4 linked regions of the Neurospora crassa OR74A genome follow. The protein of the gene in region 1 binds, or shares a complex with, the protein of each later gene. Links are inferred from orthologs where the notes say so. Each region holds a gene or a part of one and is shown on either strand. Other genes may lie near its edges.

Evidence for each region.
Region 2: the proteins of NCU05972 (region 1) and NCU02539 are in contact, whole or in part, in a cryo-EM structure (PDB 7PT6), measured with the Saccharomyces cerevisiae proteins. The link is inferred for Neurospora crassa OR74A from reciprocal best matches to the Saccharomyces cerevisiae genes DBF4 and MCM4. Residues at the interface, in NP_010337.3 of Saccharomyces cerevisiae: Asp248, Arg249, Asp250, Thr253, Lys254, Arg255, Asp256, Pro514, Thr515, Arg516, Ala517, Ser518, Val519, Met520, Ser521, Lys522, Asn523, Met524, Leu527, Arg529, Leu530, Met531, Val532, Asp533, Arg534, Leu536, Gly537, Val538, Tyr660, Cys664; in NP_015344.1 of Saccharomyces cerevisiae: Leu177, Arg178, Ile179, Ile180, Trp181, Asn184, Ser186, Ile187, Gln188, Thr192, Arg195, Asn196, Met199, Ser200, Lys202, Lys204, Phe205, Glu222, Leu224, Glu267, Ser270, Ile271, Gln274, Lys277, Asp278, Val281, Ser282, Val285, Asp286, Glu297.
Region 3: the proteins of NCU05972 (region 1) and NCU04327 are in contact, whole or in part, in a cryo-EM structure (PDB 7PT6), measured with the Saccharomyces cerevisiae proteins. The link is inferred for Neurospora crassa OR74A from reciprocal best matches to the Saccharomyces cerevisiae genes DBF4 and MCM2. Residues at the interface, in NP_010337.3 of Saccharomyces cerevisiae: Tyr127, Ile130, Thr131, Asp132, Asp133, Glu135, Met136, Asn137, Thr138, Lys141, Gln164, Phe165, Phe166, Asp167, Thr168, Thr188, Ile190, Arg193; in NP_009530.1 of Saccharomyces cerevisiae: Glu179, Glu180, Leu181, Thr182, Ser185, Arg205, Arg209, Glu210, Ser213, Leu216, Glu217, Tyr218, Thr219, Gly223, Ser225, Gly228, Ile231, Glu251, Ser252, Ala278, His282.
Region 4: the proteins of NCU05972 (region 1) and NCU05194 are in contact, whole or in part, in a cryo-EM structure (PDB 7PT6), measured with the Saccharomyces cerevisiae proteins. The link is inferred for Neurospora crassa OR74A from reciprocal best matches to the Saccharomyces cerevisiae genes DBF4 and MCM6. Residues at the interface, in NP_010337.3 of Saccharomyces cerevisiae: Ala231, Pro232, Leu234, Ser235, Leu237, Leu238, Glu241, Pro246, Thr247, Asp248, Arg249, Asp250; in NP_011314.2 of Saccharomyces cerevisiae: Val103, Asp104, Asp105, Val106, Thr107, Lys110, Val111, Ala114, Glu162, Asn163, Ala165, Leu166, Met168, Ala169, Gln173, Arg176.

Annotation. Positions count from the first base shown.
Region 1 is NC_026506.1:3,249,952-3,255,849, forward strand, and holds NCU05972 (sporulation-specific protein 6), read right to left. Parts: upstream 3,775-5,898; 5' UTR 3,075-3,774; coding exon 2,499-3,074; intron 2,432-2,498; coding exon 1,025-2,431; intron 973-1,024; coding exon 835-972; 3' UTR 57-834; downstream 1-56. Other genes in the region: NCU05971 (xaa-Pro dipeptidase), read left to right, coding at 4,464-5,898. UniProt on the Saccharomyces cerevisiae protein: Regulatory subunit of the CDC7-DBF4 kinase, also called DBF4-dependent kinase (DDK), which is involved in cell cycle regulation of premitotic and premeiotic chromosome replication and in chromosome segregation.
Region 2 is NC_026501.1:2,663,366-2,668,311, reverse strand, and holds the start of NCU02539 (cell division control protein 54), read right to left. Parts: upstream 2,801-4,946; 5' UTR 2,591-2,800; coding exon 2,266-2,590; intron 2,203-2,265; coding exon 68-2,202; intron 1-67. Other genes in the region: NCU02538 (coatomer zeta subunit), read left to right, coding at 3,265-3,304, 3,385-3,486, 3,571-3,811, 3,885-4,128; NCU11234 (translation initiation protein Sua5), read right to left, coding at 4,366-4,946. UniProt on the Saccharomyces cerevisiae protein: Acts as a component of the MCM2-7 complex (MCM complex) which is the putative replicative helicase essential for 'once per cell cycle' DNA replication initiation and elongation in eukaryotic cells.
Region 3 is NC_026505.1:5,630,912-5,636,182, forward strand, and holds the start of NCU04327 (DNA replication licensing factor mcm2), read right to left. Parts: upstream 2,801-5,271; 5' UTR 2,649-2,800; coding exon 2,644-2,648; intron 2,561-2,643; coding exon 190-2,560; intron 48-189; coding exon 1-47. Other genes in the region: NCU04328 (metaphase-anaphase transition protein), read left to right, coding at 3,464-3,597, 3,652-3,706, 3,766-5,271. UniProt on the Saccharomyces cerevisiae protein: Acts as a component of the MCM2-7 complex (MCM complex) which is the putative replicative helicase essential for 'once per cell cycle' DNA replication initiation and elongation in eukaryotic cells.
Region 4 is NC_026504.1:5,796,997-5,802,248, forward strand, and holds the start of NCU05194 (DNA replication licensing factor mcm6), read right to left. Parts: upstream 2,801-5,252; 5' UTR 2,615-2,800; coding exon 2,319-2,614; intron 2,254-2,318; coding exon 1-2,253. Other genes in the region: NCU05193 (hypothetical protein), read left to right, coding at 4,038-4,300, 4,363-5,252. UniProt on the Saccharomyces cerevisiae protein: Acts as a component of the MCM2-7 complex (MCM complex) which is the putative replicative helicase essential for 'once per cell cycle' DNA replication initiation and elongation in eukaryotic cells.

The sequences.
Region 1 (5,898 bases):
GTAAAGCCTGTGATGCTTTTTGAACTGAATCTCAAGGCTTGCTGAAGAGACTTTAGCTCGGCCTGACAAAGAAACAGGCACCATCAAACATGATAATTTCTTGACTACCAATAACCATATGATACATTTAGAGACATACATAAAGTGTAACATATAGTAGCTTATTCGAAGGCGCTACGGTCATGCTATTTTGCATGCCATCACAAGCTGTCCACCTCTTCCTCTTCATGAGCAGACCATAAACCGCCGCCCTAGCCAGGAACCATGACACCAACAATGACTATGACCCAACCAGACATCGGCTTCCGTACCATAACCGGGTATCCCCTTTGCCATTCCCTTGACATAATGAGAATACGCATACCGGATTGTTTTTCCACATAATGCTCGCTTGCTTGGTCCTCAAGTGACCATAACATAATGCCACTTTAGCCGTTTCCTCAACACCCCACGCACGACGACAAAGCCAACCGACCTCAGCAGTAGAACAGCTTGAGCACTTAGCCTTCATGCCAAGCTTCCTTCAGTAATGAAACAAAAACCGGTTAGTATGAACAAAGAAACAGAATAACGCCCCATCAACGACAAGCCACCGGAACTCCCGCGCCCAATTATGCTGGTAACGAACTTGTGCGTTGGGACAATTGAAGAAAAAAGGGAAAAGAAAAGGAAACCTCTCCAATAATGAACGACACATGACACCGCCACATGATTCCCGACTGACTAAAGAGAAACAGGTCAAAAGGGGAGATGAAGAAAACAACAAGGGAAAGCAAGTACAGCTAGTCGTCAGGAGCCATGGGTAGGTTTCATGTGCGGCAACATGGCAGTAGTTTACTGCCACCTCTCATCACCCACGGACCGATAACGCGGCTCGCGGGGAGCGCGCGAGAGCTTGCCAAGGAGAGCGTCGAGCTGGGCCCAGTTGTCGTCGTTCTCGGCGAAGCGGCGATGCTTGCGGGAAACAATATGCTACCGTCATGTTAGTAAGCGTCATAGTATGCCTGATATTGAGGAAACTCACCGCATCAAAGTCCTCGAACTTATCTTGACAGTTTTCGCAGTAACCCGGCTTGGGATCGCGCGGCTTCGGCTTTGTCTGGGGGACGGGTGTGCTCGCGGTCCTGCGCAATTTTCTCTCCTTCTTGGCCTGCTCCTGCTTCCGAGCTTCATCGTCCTCCCAGATACCAGGCATCGGGGGTTTGGCCGGATTACCCAAGCTGGCGGCACGAGTGCACTGGGCGGCATCCACACCAATCTCGGCCAAGCGACGAACACCAGAGTCTTGCGAAAGAGAAGGACCACCAGCTTTCTGAAGAACCTTGCGCTGAAGACCCAAAACTTCCTTGCTGATACCGGCCTTGGCGCCAAGGACACCGGTGGTGGACGACACCATCTGAGAGCGAATGGCGGATGTGAGCTTGTTGGCCTGGATGCCAGAAGCGACGGGCTCTCCGGCTACCAAACGGCCAACTTTGGTGGTATGGCTCATAAAGGCATTCTGCGAACGGAAATCGACCGAAGGGGTGGGCTCCTTGGCTGACTCGACGGTTTCGGGGGCATCATCAACAACTTCGGTTGCACGGTCGTTGGGTGCTTCCATCTCCTTAAGAGTACGCTTTCCCGTAACCGGCTTGGGTGATGGTACCTCGGGGGGCTGGAGGGTCTTGGTAGCCTTCTCGGTAGCGGCGGCGGCATCTGCAGCTTTGACAACTTTCTCCTTGGTCTGAGTCTTTTCCCGCCTCGTCCTTTCAGGGGGATCATAATCCTCAACAAATGGGCAACGGCCCTGGGATGCCACACGGAACTGAGGCCATTCGCCGTCCTTCTTGTCGGCAACTCTGTGGTACTCCCTCACCATGATCGGCCTCGTCTTCTCCTCAATGTCGTACACATAAATGTAGGGGCCCTTGAAGTAGTGGATGTCCTTGGTAACAACGGTGGGATCGCGATCGGAGGGGCCGTGAACACGCTCATTCTGGAGCATTTGGAGTACATTCGCAGTCTGCTGGCGAGCCTTGGCCCTATCCGCGGCTGCTGGTGTGTGGCCTCGGCCCAACAATGCCGCCTTGTACAAGTCCGTTTCAAGGACCATGCCGAGAATCCTCTGGAGTTTGTCAAGCGACCAGATCTTCTTGCCCATGTCCCGCGCACGGTGCAGGATGTCGGTGCTGCGTGCTTTCGGCTTCGGCATCGTCTCTTCCTGGGGCTGCACAGAGGATTTCCGGAGTGAGGGCTTGTCGAAAATGAGTTTGCGTCGGACCGAGTCGCCATTGCGGTTCAGGAGAGAGGGATCGATTGTCTTTGGCTGTTCACTTGTCGATTGCGTGTTGGTAACGGGCTGGTTCTCGTCCTGGACTGGCTTTACAGGGGGGATAGGACGGGTGGTGACGACATGGGTGATTTCGATGGAAAAGAACTTTTCCTCGCGCTGTGACCGAAGTGTAAGTATAAGCCGAGCGGTTGGGCCTGCATTGGGCAAGGGGTCGTTGACTTACAGCGCCCAATTGAGCGACTTGTTTGGCGAGCTTGTGACGTTGCTCGTCGGGAATGCTCTCAAAGTAGAAGACCATCTTGTGAAAGCGAGATCTCATAGAGGTTTGCCATATACTAAGGTCTTCAAGTTCCTTTGCGGTGATGCGGTCGGTCGTCGTGGTGGTGGAGGTGGTGGTGGTGGTGGTGGAGGCGGCATACAACCTCTCGGCACGGGTGGTGGTGCTGGTAGCCACGGTGGTGCCTGATCTAGAAGAAGCCCTTTCAGGCCGTTCCCGATCAATGGGCCGGGATATGGTCGAGGCCTTGCGCGTGATATTGGACACATTGGACCGGGAGCTCGTCGGCGAGGCGGCGGCGCGTTGACCGCCATGTTCAATCATCTGTCTCTTGGCCGGCGGTGGTTGACCGTATGGCTCCTCTCTAAGCTGATCGGCATGGGAGCGGACGGCGGCCTTTTTAGAGCCCTGTAGTGCCAAGGCGGTAGCCGAGGACCCACGCAGCGGCGAGTTGGCGGCATTGGGGTTGTCGGAGAGAGGAGCCCTCTTGGTGCCCGCGGCAGTGGTGGTGGTTGACGACATTGCTGTGGGATGTCGATCTAGCGATACTGTTGTCTTGTAAAATATCCAGTCAACATGCTATGGGTGTGGTGTTGTTTCTGTTTGTTCCGAAACGCCGGCTCGGGGATGGTAAGGGAGGGAGACAGTTTCCGGGCTGTCTGTCTGGTCGCGTGCTGGTACTAGCTTGGAGTTTGGGTAGGGGGACCCCGGATAACTATGGTACACCAAGAATCAAGTCGTGTGCTGAGTGCCGACTCGACAGACAAGACAAAGTGGTTTAGGCTCGGTGATCGATGGTGTCGATGGTCGAACAATGGCCCAATGCGGTCGGACAATTATTCGTCGTCGATCGTTGGTCGTTGGCTGGGAAGGAGCAAGGAAGCACTCGACCCTGGCCTGGGCGCAAAACAACTAAAGTGAGGCGGTTGGTGGTGGAGGTTGGGGCACAGTTGTCTGTTCTTCCAAAAACGCGTCTCTCGATTTTTGTCGCTGGAGGTTTTGGCTCCGTCGTCGCAGTGGCACGCGCTGAGCTCCGGTGACGGGAAGGAAGAAGGGACCGTTGTTGAACAAAACTAAGGAAACGGCTAAGGCCAATTGGATGATCTGCGCAAACCTTCCAATGTCGAATCGCGCCCGAAGTCAGTCGACGCCCGGTGCGAACAGGCCAAGATCCAATGTTCTGGTGTTGGTGGGTGGTCAAAAAACCTTTGTGTAATCAAAGTGTTTGGTTTTGATAATGACAGTCGCGACAGCAGGGTCCAGCAGGCCAAACCTCTAGGCAATGTGGGGGGGGGGGGGGGGGGAGTGCAGGCGCCCGGCCCGGGATGCTTGCACTGGCTGCCCTACACTGAAAAGCGCTGACAATGAAAATGCACCCACGCCTGGCAGCTGTGGTTTGTTGTTGCTGTCAGGTCGTGCTGGGGAATGCCAACAGCGGCTCCACATCCGCGGCTTGCAGCTGGCAGGCAGCATTTGATGCCCGGGCAGCGAGACCTGGACTCTTGGCAGTCCAGTGAAGCGCCTGGCAACTGTCAGCATTCATTTGAGCAAAAGTGAGAATGATAAAGTGACGAGATCCCATGTCTTTACCTTTACGAAACATACCTACCTATGAACCGACCTCTTGTCCGTCGCGAAGCAATTCAACTTCATTTCTCGCCGTACCTTGTTGCTTGGGGAATCTGGAGGTTGGTAAAGGTTGAGATTCCGACAACCCCATGATCAGTTTGTAGCTAGACTTTAGGTGCCGGTAGTCCTAGTAAAATACGTATCATCAACATTGCGAGCCATCCCAAACCAAGTTCACCTACGCCACCAACCCGGCGAGCCGAGGTGAACTCACACCTCGTTCTCACCTAACCACCACATTCCTTCCCCTCATCACCCTTTGACAACCACCCTTTATTTGACATGAAGCTTCCCCAAGCCGTCCTGCGGCAATGTTCTCGACACTTGCGCGCTCAGAATAACTGGCCTCTCCAACCACGTCTCCAATCTGCCAAGTCCATCCTCCCCGCATCTCACCCAAGCTCACCACCATCAACACCATGGCGCCCATCCCGGACATACGCAACGACGACGACGACGACGACAACAGTCTCAGCCGCCGACCTCGAATTCGGCCAGCCCGTCTACGAAACGCACCCCCACATCCTGCAACCGGGTGAACTAACCCCCGGCATCACGGCCCAAGAATATCACGAGCGACGTTCCAAGCTCGCCTTCGCACTTCCCGAAAACGGCATCGCCATTCTCGCCTCCTCGGAACTCAAATACCGCTCCGGCGCCGTCTTCTTCCCCTTCCGACAGGACTCCAACTTTCTGTATCTCACCGGATTCTCCGAGCCCGACTCGCTGGCCATCATCCAAAAGACGGGTCCCAAACCAGGCGACTACGTCTTCCACCTCTTCTGCCGGCCCAAAGACCCGCGCGCCGAGCAATGGTCCGGCCCCTGGTCCGGGCTGCAAGCAGCCGAGGATGTCTTCAACGCCGATTTTACGGGGGACATCGCCAAGGTTGAGACCTTGCTGCCACCCATCCTGCGCGGCGCCGGCAAGGTCTACACAGACATCACGCCCTCCACCCCCGTCACCGGCCAACTCGTCACCACCCTCCTCTCGCACCTGCACCTCCCCCCGGCTCCCCTAGCCGGGCTCGTCCACTCTCTGCGGGCCATCAAATCCCCCGCCGAGATCTCCAACATGCGCCACGCCGGCCGCGTCTCCGGGCGCGCCCTCACCTCCGCCATGCGCCGCTCTTGGTCGTCCGAAAAGGACTTGGAAGCCTACCTCAACTACGCCTTCACCTCGCACGGCCTCTCGGGCCCCGCCTACGTGCCCGTCATCGCCGGCGGCAGTCGGGGCAACATGATCCACTACGTGCACAACAACCGCCTGCTCAACCAAGACGACATGGTCCTCGTCGACGCCGGCGGCGAGTACGGCACCTACATCACCGACATCACGCGCACCTGGCCCGTCAACGGCAAGTTCTCGGCCCCGCAGCGGGACCTGTACGAAGCCGTCCTGACCGTCCAGCGCAAAATGGTTTCTCTCTGTCGGGAGAACGCCACCTTGTCGCTGGACCAGATCCACCGCGCCACTGAAGCCGGTCTGCGCGAGCAACTTACTTTACTCGGCTTCGATCTTTCATCAGGGGGAGGAGGCAGGATGGATGTGCTGTTCCCTCACCATGTGGGCCATTATGTGGGGTTGGATGTGCATGATACACCCGGTTACTCGAGGAGTTTGACGCTGAGGCAGGGGCATGCGGTGACGATTGAGCCGGGCGTCTATGTGCCGCAAGACGATGACCGGTTTCCCGAGCATTTCCGGGGACTGGCGG
Region 2 (4,946 bases), on another chromosome or scaffold:
TTTTGAGGGGGAGTTGGTTAGTTTGGGGTTCATCTTCGTGTGGATTGACAGACGGGGAAAAACTCACAAGGACGTCGTTGGCCTGCTGGGCACTCTCGGGCTTGTCTTCGAGATACATGGAGAGCAAATGGCGGGCCAGACGCTGATCATTCTTCTCATCAACACGATCGAGGATGAGGTAGACCAGATCGAAACGGGATAGAAGGGTTGGCGGGAGGTCAATATTTTGCGGCACTGATAGATCAGGGTTGTATCTACTACCAATGGGGTTGGCAGACGCCAGGATTGATGTTCGGGCATTGAGAGTGGTGATGATGCCGGCCTTGGCGACGGACACGGTCTGTTGTTCCATGACTTCGTGAAGAACGGAGCGGGTCGATTCGTTCATCTTGTCGAACTCGTCGATACAACAGACACCGCCGTCGGATAAGACGAGAGCACCGGACTCTAGAACGAGTTGGCGGGACTCGGGATCGCGGGTAACATAGGCGGTAAGACCTACGGCAGAAGAACCTTTACCACTCGTGTACACACCTCTTGGGGCGATTCTGTGAACATAGGAGAGAAGCTGGGACTTGGAAGTGGATGGGTCACCACAGAGGAGAACGTTGATGTCTCCACGGTATTTGGGGCTTCCACCCTTCTCAAAGGTCTTGTTCGTGCCTCCGAACAGTTGAAGAAGAATACCCTTCTTCACATCATCCATCTCGTAAATTGATGGAGCCAAAGAACGTGAAAGGAGATCGTAGATATCCGGTCGAGCGGCAGTTTCCTTGATCCTCTCTTCCTCATCAGGAGAGACCTTTCGGACTTCGTCCATGCTCTGGCCATTAGCATGGGCTTCCTCCTCCTCGGCAAGGTCGAGGGTCGAGGGATCAGAACCCATCCTCTTGCGGTCGACCTTTTGTACATGGACAACATCAACATATGTCTTGTGCACGCTCTTGACCGTCCTCATGCGCGGGTTGACACGAACGGGGGTGACTTTAAAGATACCAGTGAGCTCAACTCTGTCACCGGCCTTGCAAAAGTCCACAAGCTCGTTATAGACGCAAACGGATACCGAGTGGGGTGTCTGACCAGCAGGCACGTTATCCGGAGTTTCTTGCAGCTTGATGACTTGCTTGTCTTCGAAAGCACATCTGTTGTGGATGATCTGCATTGAGTTCTTGGAGGCGCAGCGAGCCCGAGGACACTCTGTAGGCTCACGAATCTTGCCACGATCTAACTGAACGGTTATAGAATGACCACAAACACTGCACTTGAAAAATGCATCCTTCATGTCGGGGATGACCGGCGTGGTTCTGATGACAAGACCCTTGATGGACACAAGCTTGTCCATGTCAGATGGGTTGAGGTCACGGAGGTTGGTGATCTTGTCAAGACCCCACGGGCGAACCACATACGCCATCTGGCTGACTTGGTCCTCAATTGTGGGCGCCGCTGTTTGGGCAGGCCGCGGGGTGGGCGGTTCCTCGCTCCTTTCAGAGCTTGGGAAGTTCGGCTCCGAGCTTTGTGAGGCACCTGGAGCGGTCCTAGAGTTTTGGGATGCTCTTTGGCTGGCCATTTCCTTTTGCGCCAACTCCATCATACAGTCATGTACGCATTGATCCATGACCGGGATGATTTCGGTAGGATAGTGTTGGGCCTGATGCCATAACTTCAAGGTGCGCGGGTAGGACTTGAGGTCGCGGAGATCCAGATACAGCTTGTTGGTACCAAGCAGCAGCATATTCTCCAGTGCCTCCCAATATGGCTTCGAATCCGCATCCGGATGGCCAATAGTCTCGGCCTCGTCCGCGCCATCTGCCCACATCCGGTATTTCCTGGTGAAGTTCCTGAGAAAGTCCTTGAACGCGGAGAACGAATCGTCAAGAGAAATTGTTGTACCCCAAACAAGACCTTGGCTTTGTCCACCAAGGGCATCTGCCTCAGAGGTATTGGGGTTATTGGTGACAAACGAGTTGGCATCGGAGCCAGGGGCATCGCGGATCACACGACCGGCGTCGTCGAGGATGATTCGGCGGGGAATCTGGGCGGGAGTACGAAGAGGGTCCCCGTTGATGTCGCCTCGACGGGATCGACCGGCAACGGACCTTTGCGAGCTGACGAAGAGCTGACTGCTTTCGCTACGAAGATCGGACTGTTGAGTAAGCTGACGGCCCGGGCTAGAACTGGAGGCATAGCGGATGGGAGAGGAGTCTGCGGAGTGTGGTCAGCATTCAGTGTAGTCCTTTTTTTTTTTTTTTTGGTTGACAGCCATACCCCCAATTAACTGGCTCCGTCCGTTTGCGCGAGGAGTTCGGTCAGCATCGCTCTGGGTCTCTGTCTGCTGGCGCAAAGGCGAGCTCGGCGCATTGCCTTGGTGGGCAGTGCTCTGGGTATTGCTCATCTGCCTCAAGGGAGAAGATACCGGGGCGGCGCCATTGGCAGGCGAGGAGGGCTCGTAGAATAAGGGACTAGAGGCAAGCTGTGATGCGCGTGTCTGGCGAGGAGTTGCGCTCGAAGGACCAGCCTGCGAGCTGCGAGTAGTGCGGGGAGTAGCTGATTGGGAGCTTCTCGTTGTTCTGCGCTTTGCTGGGGAAGACATGTTTACTACTCTGTCCTCGGTGGTTTTGTTGAGATAATACAAAGTATGGAAACTAAACCAACAAGAAGGGACAGAAGACGGGCAGGTTGGGATGGAGACGCTGGAGTGTTGTTGTGGCGGCTCCCGATCCCTCTGTAATTGCGAGGTGGTTGGCAGGTCGGCAGCGTGTTCAGGACGGGCAAGGTGGATCACGTTCCTATCGAAAAAAAAGACAGTCGCGACACACGCGTCTCTGATAAAAGCACTTTACACGGCCGTTCGTGTCTGCGGGGGCTTACTCGCGTTGACCCATTAAAACCCCTGTCATACCCAAATGAGACGGACGAGGCCACTGCAGTGCTGCTCTTGAGTGCGAACTGTCAGGTACGTAAGGTACGTACCGCGCCGTGGGGCCTCGCTTGGAGTGTTCGCTCTGGATTCAAGCCACATCACAGGGACCGCTTCACCCCACAATACCCACGCTCACCACGGTAACCAACGATACCGCCTGCCCCTGGTCATTGTGAGCACTACCTACCTACGCAGCACCTCTGGAGTTCAAGCTAACCACTATATACCTACCCACTTGCGCCCATTGAAGTCGAGTTGCCCCTCGTCGCCGACCTTCTCCAACCGATACCAGTCTCGAGACAGCAATTGATCAAGAAACAAGAACCCCCAGATAACCAGTCAAGATGTCGCCAGGAATGTCGCTGTATAGCGTCAACGCTATAGGTACACTAGGCACCACGCTGCTCCTGGGTCCTGGCTTATACGCGCCACGTCGAGCAATGTTGACAATTGCGTTCCAACAGTAATCCTCTCCAGCGATGACGGTTCGCGGATATTCTCAAAATACTACACTCCTCCTCACGCTGCCGCTGGCGCACCAGGAACAGGAGTGGCCGCCGGACTCGGTACGCAATAGACGCTCCTTTTACCCCTTATTCGGTGTCGCATGTTCCCGTAAGGCTGACCAGCCCGAACCTTGTGCACAACAGCTTCCTCGAGCGCTTCCCAGAACCCCTATCCCGACAAGACTTCTCAAACCCGTTTCGAGAAGGGCCTCCTTCAGAAGACAGCTAAGCAGACGGGCGATATCCTCCTCTACGACAACAAGGTGGTGCTTTACAAGATGGAGTCGGACGTTGCTATCTACGTCGTTGGTAGCGCGGACGAGAACGAAGTTCTGCTCTACAACGTACTTTTGGCGCTTAGGGACAGCTTGCATATGCTCTTCAAGTGAGTATTTATGGCGAACGTGAAGGTGCCGGTCATGGGACATGATTTGGCTAACCACGGACTTTCTACTCAGGCAATCGATCGACAAGCGCACGATAGTCGAAAACTACGATCTGGTATCCCTCGCTATCGACGAAATCGTGGATGACGGCGTTGTTCTCGAGACCGATCCCACCATCATCATTCAACGATGCAGCAAGGCGCCGCCTGCCGATGTCAACCTCAGCCGCCTCGACCCCTTCACCGAGCAGGGTGTCAACAACTTGGCACAACTAGGCAAGGCTAAGCTTACTGACTGGCTTCGTCAGGGTCTCTAAGGGCATGTGCGGGTGGGTAATGACAAGGGAAGGAGTGTGGCGGATGGGAGCAACCAAGGTAAAGTTGGCGCATTGGTTCGTAAAAAGGTATCAGGCCCTTTTGTTTGGCGAGCCTTTTTATGGCAGAGTAATGAGCCAAAGGCGAAGCAAAAAGACACGAAAAGCCAACAAGTGATGGGTTAGCAGAAAACAGGAGTTATAGTCTTTTCCCTTGCGATCTATAGGGTTTGACCCCGTCTATATTCTAATGTCGGAAGCGGCTTTCCTCAGCCTGTTCATGACCGCCGCCGCGATATCGTCTCCATCACTCACACCCTCTACGAATATTACATCCGCGCCGCGCCTGTCCAGCTCTCGGAGGGCAGCGAAAAGGCCATGTGCCACCCCCTTGACATCGTTGCCCAGATCAATCTCCAGAAGCCTTGCCAACACCGTGGTGCCGTCCTCATCCAGCCATTGCCCTTCCCTGACAGCGAACCCAGTCTCGGCCACGTCCCCGCTGTCCTTCGCAGCAACATCATCAAGCCCCTGACTCCTCAACCCCCCGGCAACAGGCCATCTCCCCGTCCTAATAACCGCAACACTCTTCACGTTTCCCTTGCCCTCCTCCTCCCCAGCCGCTTCAACCGCCTCCCTCACATCCGCCTTCGGTACCTCCCTCCTCCCTCCCTCCGCCTCATACAACACCACCCTCGCCTTCGGGCTATAATGCTTATACTTCATCCCCGGCGCTCTCGGCGCCGTCTTTCCTCCGACCTCTGCCTGATCCTTATACGCCTTCTCCACGCCTTCCCACCCCTTACACTCCCTAATCTCCT
Region 3 (5,271 bases), on another chromosome or scaffold:
CGGCAGAAGGCTTCGGAGATGCGGATGATGGCTTCCAAGTGACGGACCTAAGGTGGTGGTGGGTGAGGTTAGCAGTTGTTATTGTGTTGTATTTTGTGACGGAGGAAGAAAGAAAAAAAAAAAAAAAAAAAAAAAAAAAAAAAAAAAAAAAAAAAAAAAAAAGGAAAAAGGAAAGAGGGAAGAACTTACAGTAATAGGATAAGCCCCCGTCGCCAAACTCTCCCTTCTCATATCCGCAAACAGCCTCGCCACCTTATCCTCATCCATGTGATACAACTTTGGCTGGCACCGCTCTCGGGCATAAAGGATATACTTCCTCAACAGCTCTTGTGGGATTTCGCCCTCTTTTTTACGGCCGTGTTCACCAGTTTGTTGGGTTTCCGCAGCAGCTTGGGTATCGTGTTCAACCTCCATGGAGTCACCACCGCTAGCGTCCTGCGTGTTGTTGTTCATCAACGGATGACTCCTCGAATGCGACCCGACAATGAAGCGCGCCAGCCGCTCATCTTCTTCAGGCTCGACTGTGTCGCGCACGACGCAAAGGATGTCGAAACGAGACAGAATCGGCTCGGTAAGCTCCACGTTGGCAGAAAAGGGAATGGTAGAGTTGTACCGCCCGCCAATAGGGTTAGCAGCGGCGATGATTCCGCACCGGGCTTGCAGGGTCGTGACGATACCGGCTTTGGAGATAGAGATGGTCTGCTGCTCCATGGCTTCGTGGATGGACGTGCGGTCCTGGTCGTTCATCTTGTCGAACTCGTCGATCAGGCAGGTGCCCTTGTCGGCGAGGACGAGGGCGCCGCCCTCGAGAGTCCATTCGGACGTGAGCGGGTCGCGCCGGACGGAAGCCGTCAGACCGACGGCGGAAGCACCCTGGCCGGTGGCGAAGACGGCGCGGTGGGCCGTCTTTTCGGCGTACTTGAGTACTTGTGATTTGGCGGTACCGGGGTCGCCGAGGAGCAGCACGTTGATGTCACCGCGGATGTGGTGGGCGCCGACTTGCTTGGCGACGCCGCCGAAGAGGGAGAGGGCGACGGCGGTCTTGATGTCGGTGTGTCCGTAGATGGAAGGGGCGACGGAGTTGATGATCTTGTCGACAATGTGCGGGTCGCGCGAGAGACGGCGAATCTCGTGCTCGTCTTCCTCGGTCATGCGGAAGCCGGCGAGCTGGTCGTGGGATTTGACAATGTTGTTGGCTTCGAGGATGGTGGCGAAGACGGGGAAGCCGTTGCGGTTGTTGAGCTGCGCGTCGTAGTTGTTGCGGTAGATGCCCGTTACTTCGATCTCCTCGCCCGGCTTGGCCTTGTCGATCAGGTCCCAGAGGAGAATGACCTCGCGGTGACGGGGCAGACGACCGGCGGGAACGGTGCCGGGGGATTCTTGGAGGGTGAGCTTTTGGTAGTTGCGGTAGACGGTCTTCTCGGAGTTAAGGGTGAAGGGGCCACGAGACTGGCAGGACTGGCAGTAAGAGATCTTGACTTCGACGTTGGACTCTTGCTGGAAGGGACCGAGAGTGACGCCGCACTTGGTGCAGTCGAACTTGACATACTTGAGCTGGGGGAAGACACCGGTGCGGCGGGTGACGACACCGCTCACGCGCACAAGACAGTTGAGGTGCGACTGGCGGAGCTGACGGAGGGTATAATGGATAGGAAGGTCGAAGATACGGACGTGGATCTCGGCGTGAATGCGCTCGTAGTCGGGGTAATGGAGAAGGACGACTTCCATGGCAACCTCGTCGAAGAGCTTGAGCATCTCGGTTGGCGCATTGGCGAGGAAGTATGCGAGAATGGCCTTGGCTGTAGCGAGGTGCTCGTAGGAGACCTCGAGAGACTCGGCGTTGATCTCACCAAGAGTACGGATGCGGTTGCCGTAGACGGACGAACCGCTCTCGTCGGTGTATTCTGTGAGGAAAGCCTTGAACTCTCTGCGGATGGTCTTTTGTACAGCCGGGACTGAGATCCATTCGCTCAAAGTGGCAGCCTTGACATCCATCAGGGCCTCGAGGGGAAGTTCCGAGTCCATAATGTCGCCATCCATATCGACATCGGGGTCTTCATTGTAGCGGATTCTTCGGCGGCGTTCCAGGTTGGTAAGGTCGATATCACCATCGTCGTCATCACCAGGAAGATACGTGGTGCCCATTCCCATCCTCACTTGACGGTCTCTCTGGGCCAACTTGGCTTCAAGACGGCGCCTTGCGGCGGGGTCGAGGGCCTCATACTCGTCATCGTCGATGTCAATTCCTTCGTAGGCGTCGTTTTCGTCTCGTTCCCTATAATCGCGCTCGAAGCCTTCGCGGAACAAATCTACATCGTCTTCGGCCAACTCGTCGAGGTCGTCAATGTCGTCTTCGATTTCAGCGGCGACGTCTTCCTCGATGTCGTCGTCCTCATCTGCGCCATGGGCAACTGGGAAGGCGGGAGGAGAAGAGGGCATGACAGGGCTCGAAGCGCGGGGAAGCGAGGAAGCACCATCGTGATCGTTACGCGCACGCTTGCGAGTGGCCCTGGGAACGGCGCCACGGTTGGCAGAGGACGGGTTGTCGCGAAGCGGGGAACTGGTATTGGAGAGTTTCCGTTAATTCACTGTTTACTTGCGAAGAGAAGCCGTGACAGACGAAAGAGCAAGAGGCACACATACCTCATGATTGCGACTTGGCTGAGGGTATCTCAGAGGACTGTAGCCAGCTACAGATGGAAGAAACAAGAGAGTGGAGGATGCTGGCCTAGTTGTTACTATGGAGAATGAATGCCAGCCAGAAAGAGGATATGTTGCGGGGTGAGACAGAGAGAGAGAAGGGGGGGGGGGGGGGGAGGGGAATGGAGACAAACAGCGTCGAGGAACCACTGAATGAATGTTGCCCTTCGTTGCGGCGACCTTGTCCCTGCTTTTTTCTCGCGTTGCAGTCCAGGGAAGACGCGCCAGACGTGATGCGCTAAGCCGGATAAGGGCGGTCGCGTTAAGTGGTTGCTGAGGTTTAATGGGCTTGGCAATGCGTACCGGACCCACTTGGTGCTGCTCTTACACGCCAATTCGACTCGTCGAGATTCCCAAAAAGTCACAAAAGCTCAAAGTCCAGTGAACAATGACGAGCAAAGCATGAGCTATAAGGTGCTACATACTACAGGGCCATGTTATTGATCGGATCACGTTCAAATAGGTTTCCTTGAACCCAATTCCAATCTGTGCTGCTTGGACATATAGACCACAGTGCCTTACACCAAACCAAGGGTACATTGCAAGCTCGGTCCTTCTCCCCACGCTTCCACCAACGCGCCCTCCTCCTCCTCCTCCCCCTCCTCCTCCTCCTCTTCGCGCCCCAGCAATTGTTTTTTGTTTTAAAGACTTCCGGACAGAACCCATCTTTCGTGATCCAGCACCATCTCGAGGCATTTGTCTTATCAACAATTTTGATAGACCACCGACCATCCAAGATTGACCGTGAAAGCATCCATCACCCATGGACCCTCAACCGGCGCAACAGCCCGCCGAGGCCACTCCAGATGGCCATGGAGCTCCAGCACCAGTCGCGCTCACCAAGACTCGTACTGAAAGCTTCTCCGCCAAGTCAGAAAACTCTCAGACTGCCGCAGAGTATGTTGTCATATATTGGACTTACCACATGACAAAGTACTAACCATGGTCTAGCTTCATCCGCGACCAAATGCAACTAGAGGCCGACGCTCGCGAAGCTCTTCCATACGTGCGTGTCCCTTGTCTTCTCTGCCCTTTTCCTTAAAGTCAATCCTAACCTCCCACCAGAGCATCGAAACCTGCACCAAGCCCCTCGGCCCCCTCCGCCAGGCCGTCTTCTCCTGCCTGACCTGCAACCCACCACCCGCCGACCCGAAAGCGCCCTACAATGCGGCCGGCATCTGCTACTCCTGCTCCGTCCAGTGTCACGGCGAGCACACTCTCGTCGAGATCTTTGCCAAGCGCAACTTCACCTGCGACTGCGGTACCACACGCTTCCCGCCCACGAGCCCGTGCAACCTGCGCATCAATGAGGAGACGGGCACCAAGGGCGGCGTGCACTCGGAGGAACCAGATGTCAACAACAAGTACAACCATAACTTCCGGAATCGGTTCTGCGGCTGCGAGTGCGATTATGACCCGTTTGAGCAGAAGGGGACCATGTTTCAATGTCTGGGCCTAGGCACGGCAGAAACGGGTGGTTGTGGGGAGGATTGGTACCATCCTGGGTGCATCGTGGGTTTGGGTCCGGATTGGTTTGAGAAGATGGACAAGAAGGATAAGCCCAAGTCTGCGGCGCTGAAGACGGAGGTTAAGACCGAAAATGGTGCCCTACCTACAATTGCGGAAGATGAGACAACAGAACAGAACGGCGCCCATGCCGAAGAGGCAGAGGAAGACGAAGACGAAGACGACGACCCACCTCCACCGCCTGGCTTCCCTGCCGATGACGACTTTGAGGGATTCATCTGCTATAAGTGCGTCGAGGCGTACCCCTGGATCAAGAGATACGCGGGTACTGAAGGATTCCTACCGCCTGTCTATCTGAAGAAGGAGGAGCAAACCATTAGTACCACCTCGGAACTCAAAGTCAACGGCAATTCCTCATCTAAGAAGCGCAAAGCATCTGACGAGGACAACGAACACATCGAGGAATCCCAAGAAAAGAAGCCCAAAACCGATGAAACCGTCCATTCAACGACTACCGCCATCACTACAACCGAGTCCCTCACAACCAACGGCTCTTCCACCATCACCTCCACCACCAACACAACAACCCTCACCACCACAGACTCCTCCACCACAACCCCCCACCCCAATCCCAACCCCAAACCCTGCCTCCTCTCCTCCCTCCCCCCACCACCTTCCCAAACCTCCCAAAACTCCCCCTTCTCCCTCTTCTTCACCACCCCCTCCTTCCGTTCCCTCCTGTGCCACTGCCCCCACTGCTTCCCCCTCCTCATCCCGCACCCCCACCTCCTCGAAGAAGAAGACACCTACGAACCCCCCGTTTCCGAAACCTCCTCCTCCTCTCCCTCCCACTCTCTACACGGCGGCGGCGGCGGCGGAAGCAGCAGCAAGGGGTCGGGATCGGTTCTCGAAAGAGGCGAGTCGGCCTTGCGGAATATCGATCGGGTGCGAGCCATTGAGGGCGTCATGGCTTATAACCATTTGAAGGACAAATTGAAGCCGTTTTTCAGAGAGTTTGCCGAGAGTGGGAGGGCGGTTAGTGCGGAGGATATCAAGGCGTATTTTGCAAAGTTGAGGGGGGATGACGAGGTTAGAACGGGTGGA
Region 4 (5,252 bases), on another chromosome or scaffold:
GCCGCAGACGGCTGTCGGGCAGCTTCACCACCCATGTCGACGTCGCCATCTCCGTCCATATCGGCCTCGGGCACGCGCGAAGCAGCGGCGGCGGCGGCTTGCAAGGCCTCGGGGGAGTCGGCGGGTGGTTCGGGAGCGTCTTCCTCGTCGTCTACTTCGACGTCGTCGTGTTCGACGGAAATGATCGACTGCCGCAAAAGGTGGAACGCCTCATTAACAAAATCGGGCGTGATTTCCTCGACGCAGTTGGCCTTGGCAATGGCTTCAGACAGACGGATCATACTCTCCAGCTGTCTGACGGTGATTCGGTAGCTGTTCTTGCCGATGCCGCCCTGGGCGTCGTCGGCGCGCAGGTCCTTGTAGCGCTGCACGAGGACTTCCTTGGCTTCGTCGGTGAACTCGGGGCGGAAAGTGCGAGCGAAACGAATGTACCGCTGCAGTTGCTCGGTGGAAAACTCGGGCTCGATGGCTTGGTCCCGGTTTTGGTGCAGGCCGACAATGTGTTCGGCCAAGTGGCGGTCGACCTGCTCGTTGCACTCGTCGAGGATGACGAAGAACAGATCGAAACGCGACATGATGGGCGCCGACATGTTGATGTTGGCGCGCAGGGTGGTCTTGCGGTTGTAGCGACCTCCGACCGGGTTGGCAGCTGCTAGAATCGAGGTTCTGGCATTAAGCGTGGCCTGAATACCGGCCTTGGCAATGGAAATGGTCTGCTGTTCCATGGCTTCGTGGATGGCAACCTGATCGGCAATGTCCATCTTGTCGAACTCGTCGATGCAGCAGATGCCGTTGTCAGCGAGCATGAGGGCACCGGCTTCAATGGTGAATTCACCGGTTTCTTCATCCTTGACCACGGCAGCCGTAAGACCAGCGGCGGAAGAGGCCTTGCCGGAGGTGTAGACTGCCCGGGGAGCAAAGTTGACGACGTACTTGAGAAATTGGGATTTGGACGTCGAGGGGTCGCCGACGATGCAGATGTTGATGTCGCCACGGAGTGCCATGCCTTCGGCGGTGGTTTTGGAGACACCAGACAAAAGCTGCAAGAGGATACCCTTCTTGACGACTTCGTGACCGTAGACTGTGGGTGCCAAGGACTGGACAAGGCGTGCGTAGATGTGGTCGCTGTGCACCATGGCACGGAGGTCTTCCATCTCGGCAGAGGTGTAGGAGCTCAGCAGAGCTTCCTGGGCTTCCTTGATGGTCTCGGCTGTTTCGGCCGCCGCGCTGCTGTTGAGGGTACCAACAATGTCCATCAGAAGGGCATCGCCAGAAGCACCGATTGCCGACACATCAGGCGTGACCATGCAAGCCAGGAACGCCAAACGGTAGGTAAGATCGCGCACACCCAGGGCCTTGAGACCAGAAACACCACTGCCACCGGCATCCGCACCCCGATCATCACGCACCGACACGTTCCGCACACCCGGCAGACCCAATTGACTGACATCCGGCACCACGATCAGCGCACCCGTAAAGATACACTTTTCGCCGGCCTTGGCGCGATCCACCAGTTCGCCGCGCAAAATCACATCCATTGTCCTGGGCATGCTTCCTGTGGGAATCTCGCTACTGTTTTCCTGCACGCGCACCTTTTGCCAGTCCACAAAGGTGCTCTGCCTGATGTCCAGCTGCCACGAAGTGCGGTTCTGGCACGTCAAGTTGGGACACTGCGTCGGTTCGGTGTATCGGAACGTCTGCTCGACATTGGGAACGACGGCGTAGCAGGCCTGGCAGACAAAGGTGGCCAGAGCCAGCTCGGGCCGGACCTCGGAGGTGCGTGTGACGGTGCCGCTAATGGCAAGAAGCTGGCCGACGTTGCGGGCGCGCATGGAGCGCACGCGCGAGACGAGGGGCAGGTTGTAGAAGGCAATGGCAAAGAGCTTGTCGGTTTGTTGGTTGGGGTTCTTGATGCCAAAGTCGGACTGGCTCGCGTTGGCGCCTCGTGTGCTGGCGGCTGTCGTGGAGTGGGCGCTGGATGCCGTGGGCTGGCGATGTTCGTTAAAGTATTGGGGTTCGTGGGCGGCGATTCGGCTATGGAGGGCGGCTGTGAGGAAGGGAAGGAAGCGGTAGTACGAGTTGGTGATGGCCTCGGCGAGGGTGCCGTCTTGCCATGAGGCGACGTGCTTGTAGTCGACGTAGAAGGTGGATAACGAGTAGGTCCTCATGCCGTGGATCTGGGCGACGTAGTACTTGTCTGTCGTGACTGCGCTCGAGGTTGGTTGGCCGGACGAGGTGGGTGTTTCGACGTAGCTGGCGCCGGTGTCAGCAAGTACACCAAGTAGTACATGTTTGGCTGGTTTCTTGGATCTTCATACCCGTCAATGAAGGCCTCAAAGGCTCTCTGGACCATGACACCAATCCTATCCTGAACCCTGGGGATGTCGGCAATGTTCCGAGGCCTCGAGCGGACGGGGACCTGATCATCAGCGAACCCTTCCTCGCCCTCGTCTTCGCTGGCCGCTCCGAGGCTTTCTGAGGGGGGGCCTCGTGGACGAGCTGAAGAGGAACTGGGATGACCGTTTCGCGCCCTGGGAGTAGCTCCTCCTCGCGAAGCGATTCCGTCCGACATCATGAAGCCAGCATCGCTGGAGTGTGCCATTGGTGTTGCCATTGTGTTATGGTGTTGCTGTGGTCCACCTGGGTATCAAGGAGAGTTGGTGGAGATTGGAAGTTGTCGAGGTCAAGATTCAAGTAGAGATATGAGAACCCAAGGGACCAAGGACTGACTGGTTAGTGAGTGGAAGGAGGGGAAACTGTGACGAGGGGAGGGGAACTGAGTCCTCCCTGTCAAGAAAACACGATAAAACACGCGCCAGAAAAGCTGAAGCGCGCCAAGACCAGGAAGCTGGCGCGCACAAGTGGGGCCCTCTTTAATGGCTTCGCTAGTGGGATATAGATTGGATAACTGCATACCACCTGCACTTGGCCACAGAAATTCAACCTCTGGGGTGTATCGCCGAAAGCAATACACTTGCTGTAACGAAGCATCGCCATTCGACTCTGCCTTGTTCGTACGACGACCCGACTTGCCCTACCAAGGATTCAGCCTCCTGGTAGAAGTTGCCTACTATGTCTTTTAGTGATTCCAGGCCTTTCGTGTGCCGAATGAGACCTTTTGCAATTCTCTCCCAACTATTTTCATTCATTTTGATTTGAGAAATCCTCCAGCAAGATGCTCCTTCCTCACAAGCCGTTGCAAAATGGGTGATGCTTCTTCCATCCATTGAACAATTCTGTGTGTATTGACGAAGCACAATTTTCTCGAGCTGATGCCCTCTTCCCGCTGTCGGCACTCTTTATCAAGTGCCACACAATTGTCGTCGCTCCCTCGGTTCCTCGAATGCAGTGTTCCCTCCCACATCAGCCAAACTGAACTGTCAATCGCCCTCGTCCAATTTCCTCAGCCTTCGGTGACATCCATCAACCAGCTTGCCATGGTATCTTGCCATTAAAACCGGCCAGCTGCCAGGTCAAGTCCGTGGTGGTTCTCTATAACATCCGAGTTATGTATGTATGTCAGACAAGGTACAACACAAGAAGGTGAGTATAGTGAGGTCGAACCAGTCAGAAGTGGTCCCGGTCATGTTCGGTCCCAAACTCCAACATCTCCGAGACATACAAGCTGCAGTGTTACCACAATTTCATCTGGGCTGATAGGCTTTAGCCGAGAGCATGCCAGCCCTTGACCACCCACATCAACCCGCGGCCAAGAACACATGTCCTTGCTTGACGTGACGACCTTCTGCAATCTGGTATCCGCCTGCCCCTCCCCCCGATCAGATCTCTGGGCTGAAACGCCATGTAGGTGGGCAGCGTGGCGGCGAACCTGATCTATCTTTGCCATCACCCCCCTTCCTGACGTCTCAGCTTCTTCTACCACTCCACAAACAACAGCAATGTTAGATCAGTAGTCTCTTGACATCAGAATGGCTTGACAAGCGAAACAAAGACACTATCAGCTGACTCGGCCAAACAAAGCTTTGTGTCAGAGAAGATCGTATCTGGGCCCGCATTCAGTCAGTCAAAAGTCCAAGATGAACAGCAATACGGACTTCACTCAGCTATGGCATCGCCATTTGGCCAACCTCCGCCATGACTTCTCGGCTGGAGCTGTTGACAACGCTCGTGTACACGCTTCGCCTTCGAAGCCGGCAAGGAGCATGGATGGAAGAGGAGACAGTGAAGCTACGCCCAGGGGCGCTGATCATCATGACATCCAAGCGACGTCGCTCCCCGTTGGACTCGAGTGGGACGGAGACATGGAGATGGTGATTGGTGCTTTGCAGGAGCTTGAGGTGTAAGTTCGGCCAACCTGACATCTGATCCCAAGACAAAACGGCTAACGGACATCCGTAACAGTCAAAGCCCTATCACCGCCACCGAAGCCCTCAGTCCCGATTCTCCGTGGTTCAGAGACCATCATCTTCGCCGTGATGCCGATGGTGATGGGGATATAGAGATTGAGACTGTGGCGTCGTCACCGCAAAATTCGAGCTGGTCGAGGACCGTCGCGCCTCCGAAAGCACAGCGAGCCCGTTTATCATTGCAACCACAGCTGAAGAGCCCCGTCAACCTCTATACGTCTGCGGCTGCTAAGGGGCTTGATACAGATGCTAAAGCACGGACAGAAAGAAGATACTCACAAGACTGGTCCAGAGATCATGCAACACTCCTCTCACACTCTCAGCAGCTATACGAGACTTACTCGGCTTATCCAGCATCACTAGCTTTCAGTACTGCTCGACCTGAACCCGAGACCGAACCACCAGAACCAAAAACCAGGTTCAGCTCCATCTTCTCGCCCTCTCAGCGCAGTCGACATGCACAGCTAACCGAAGAAGTCAACGTCTTGATCCTCAGCTGGGCTACGACAACCACAACAATAACCGCCAAGGAACAAGGGCCAATCAAACTCAGTTCAAGTCGGCAAGGGATCAATACCTCCACGGACTCCGTTCGAAACTGCTTCAAACGGCTCGGATATCGAGTCCAATGCCGACCGATTCCCGAGGACTATCCTACTGCGGCTGTGGAGACCCTGCTGGCCAAGTTTCTCGCGGACTCCGATACGGGCCAGGGGAGGAAGAAGTTGCTAGTCATTTACTATGCTGGGGGAGCGGACATGGTTGGAGGAAGGATGATGTTTGCGAATGCGATTGGCTCGAGTCATTTCTTCTGGGAGGACATTCGCGAGCCCATCATGTCGAGTGAGAGTGACGTCTTGCTCATCCTTGACTGTCATCACTCCA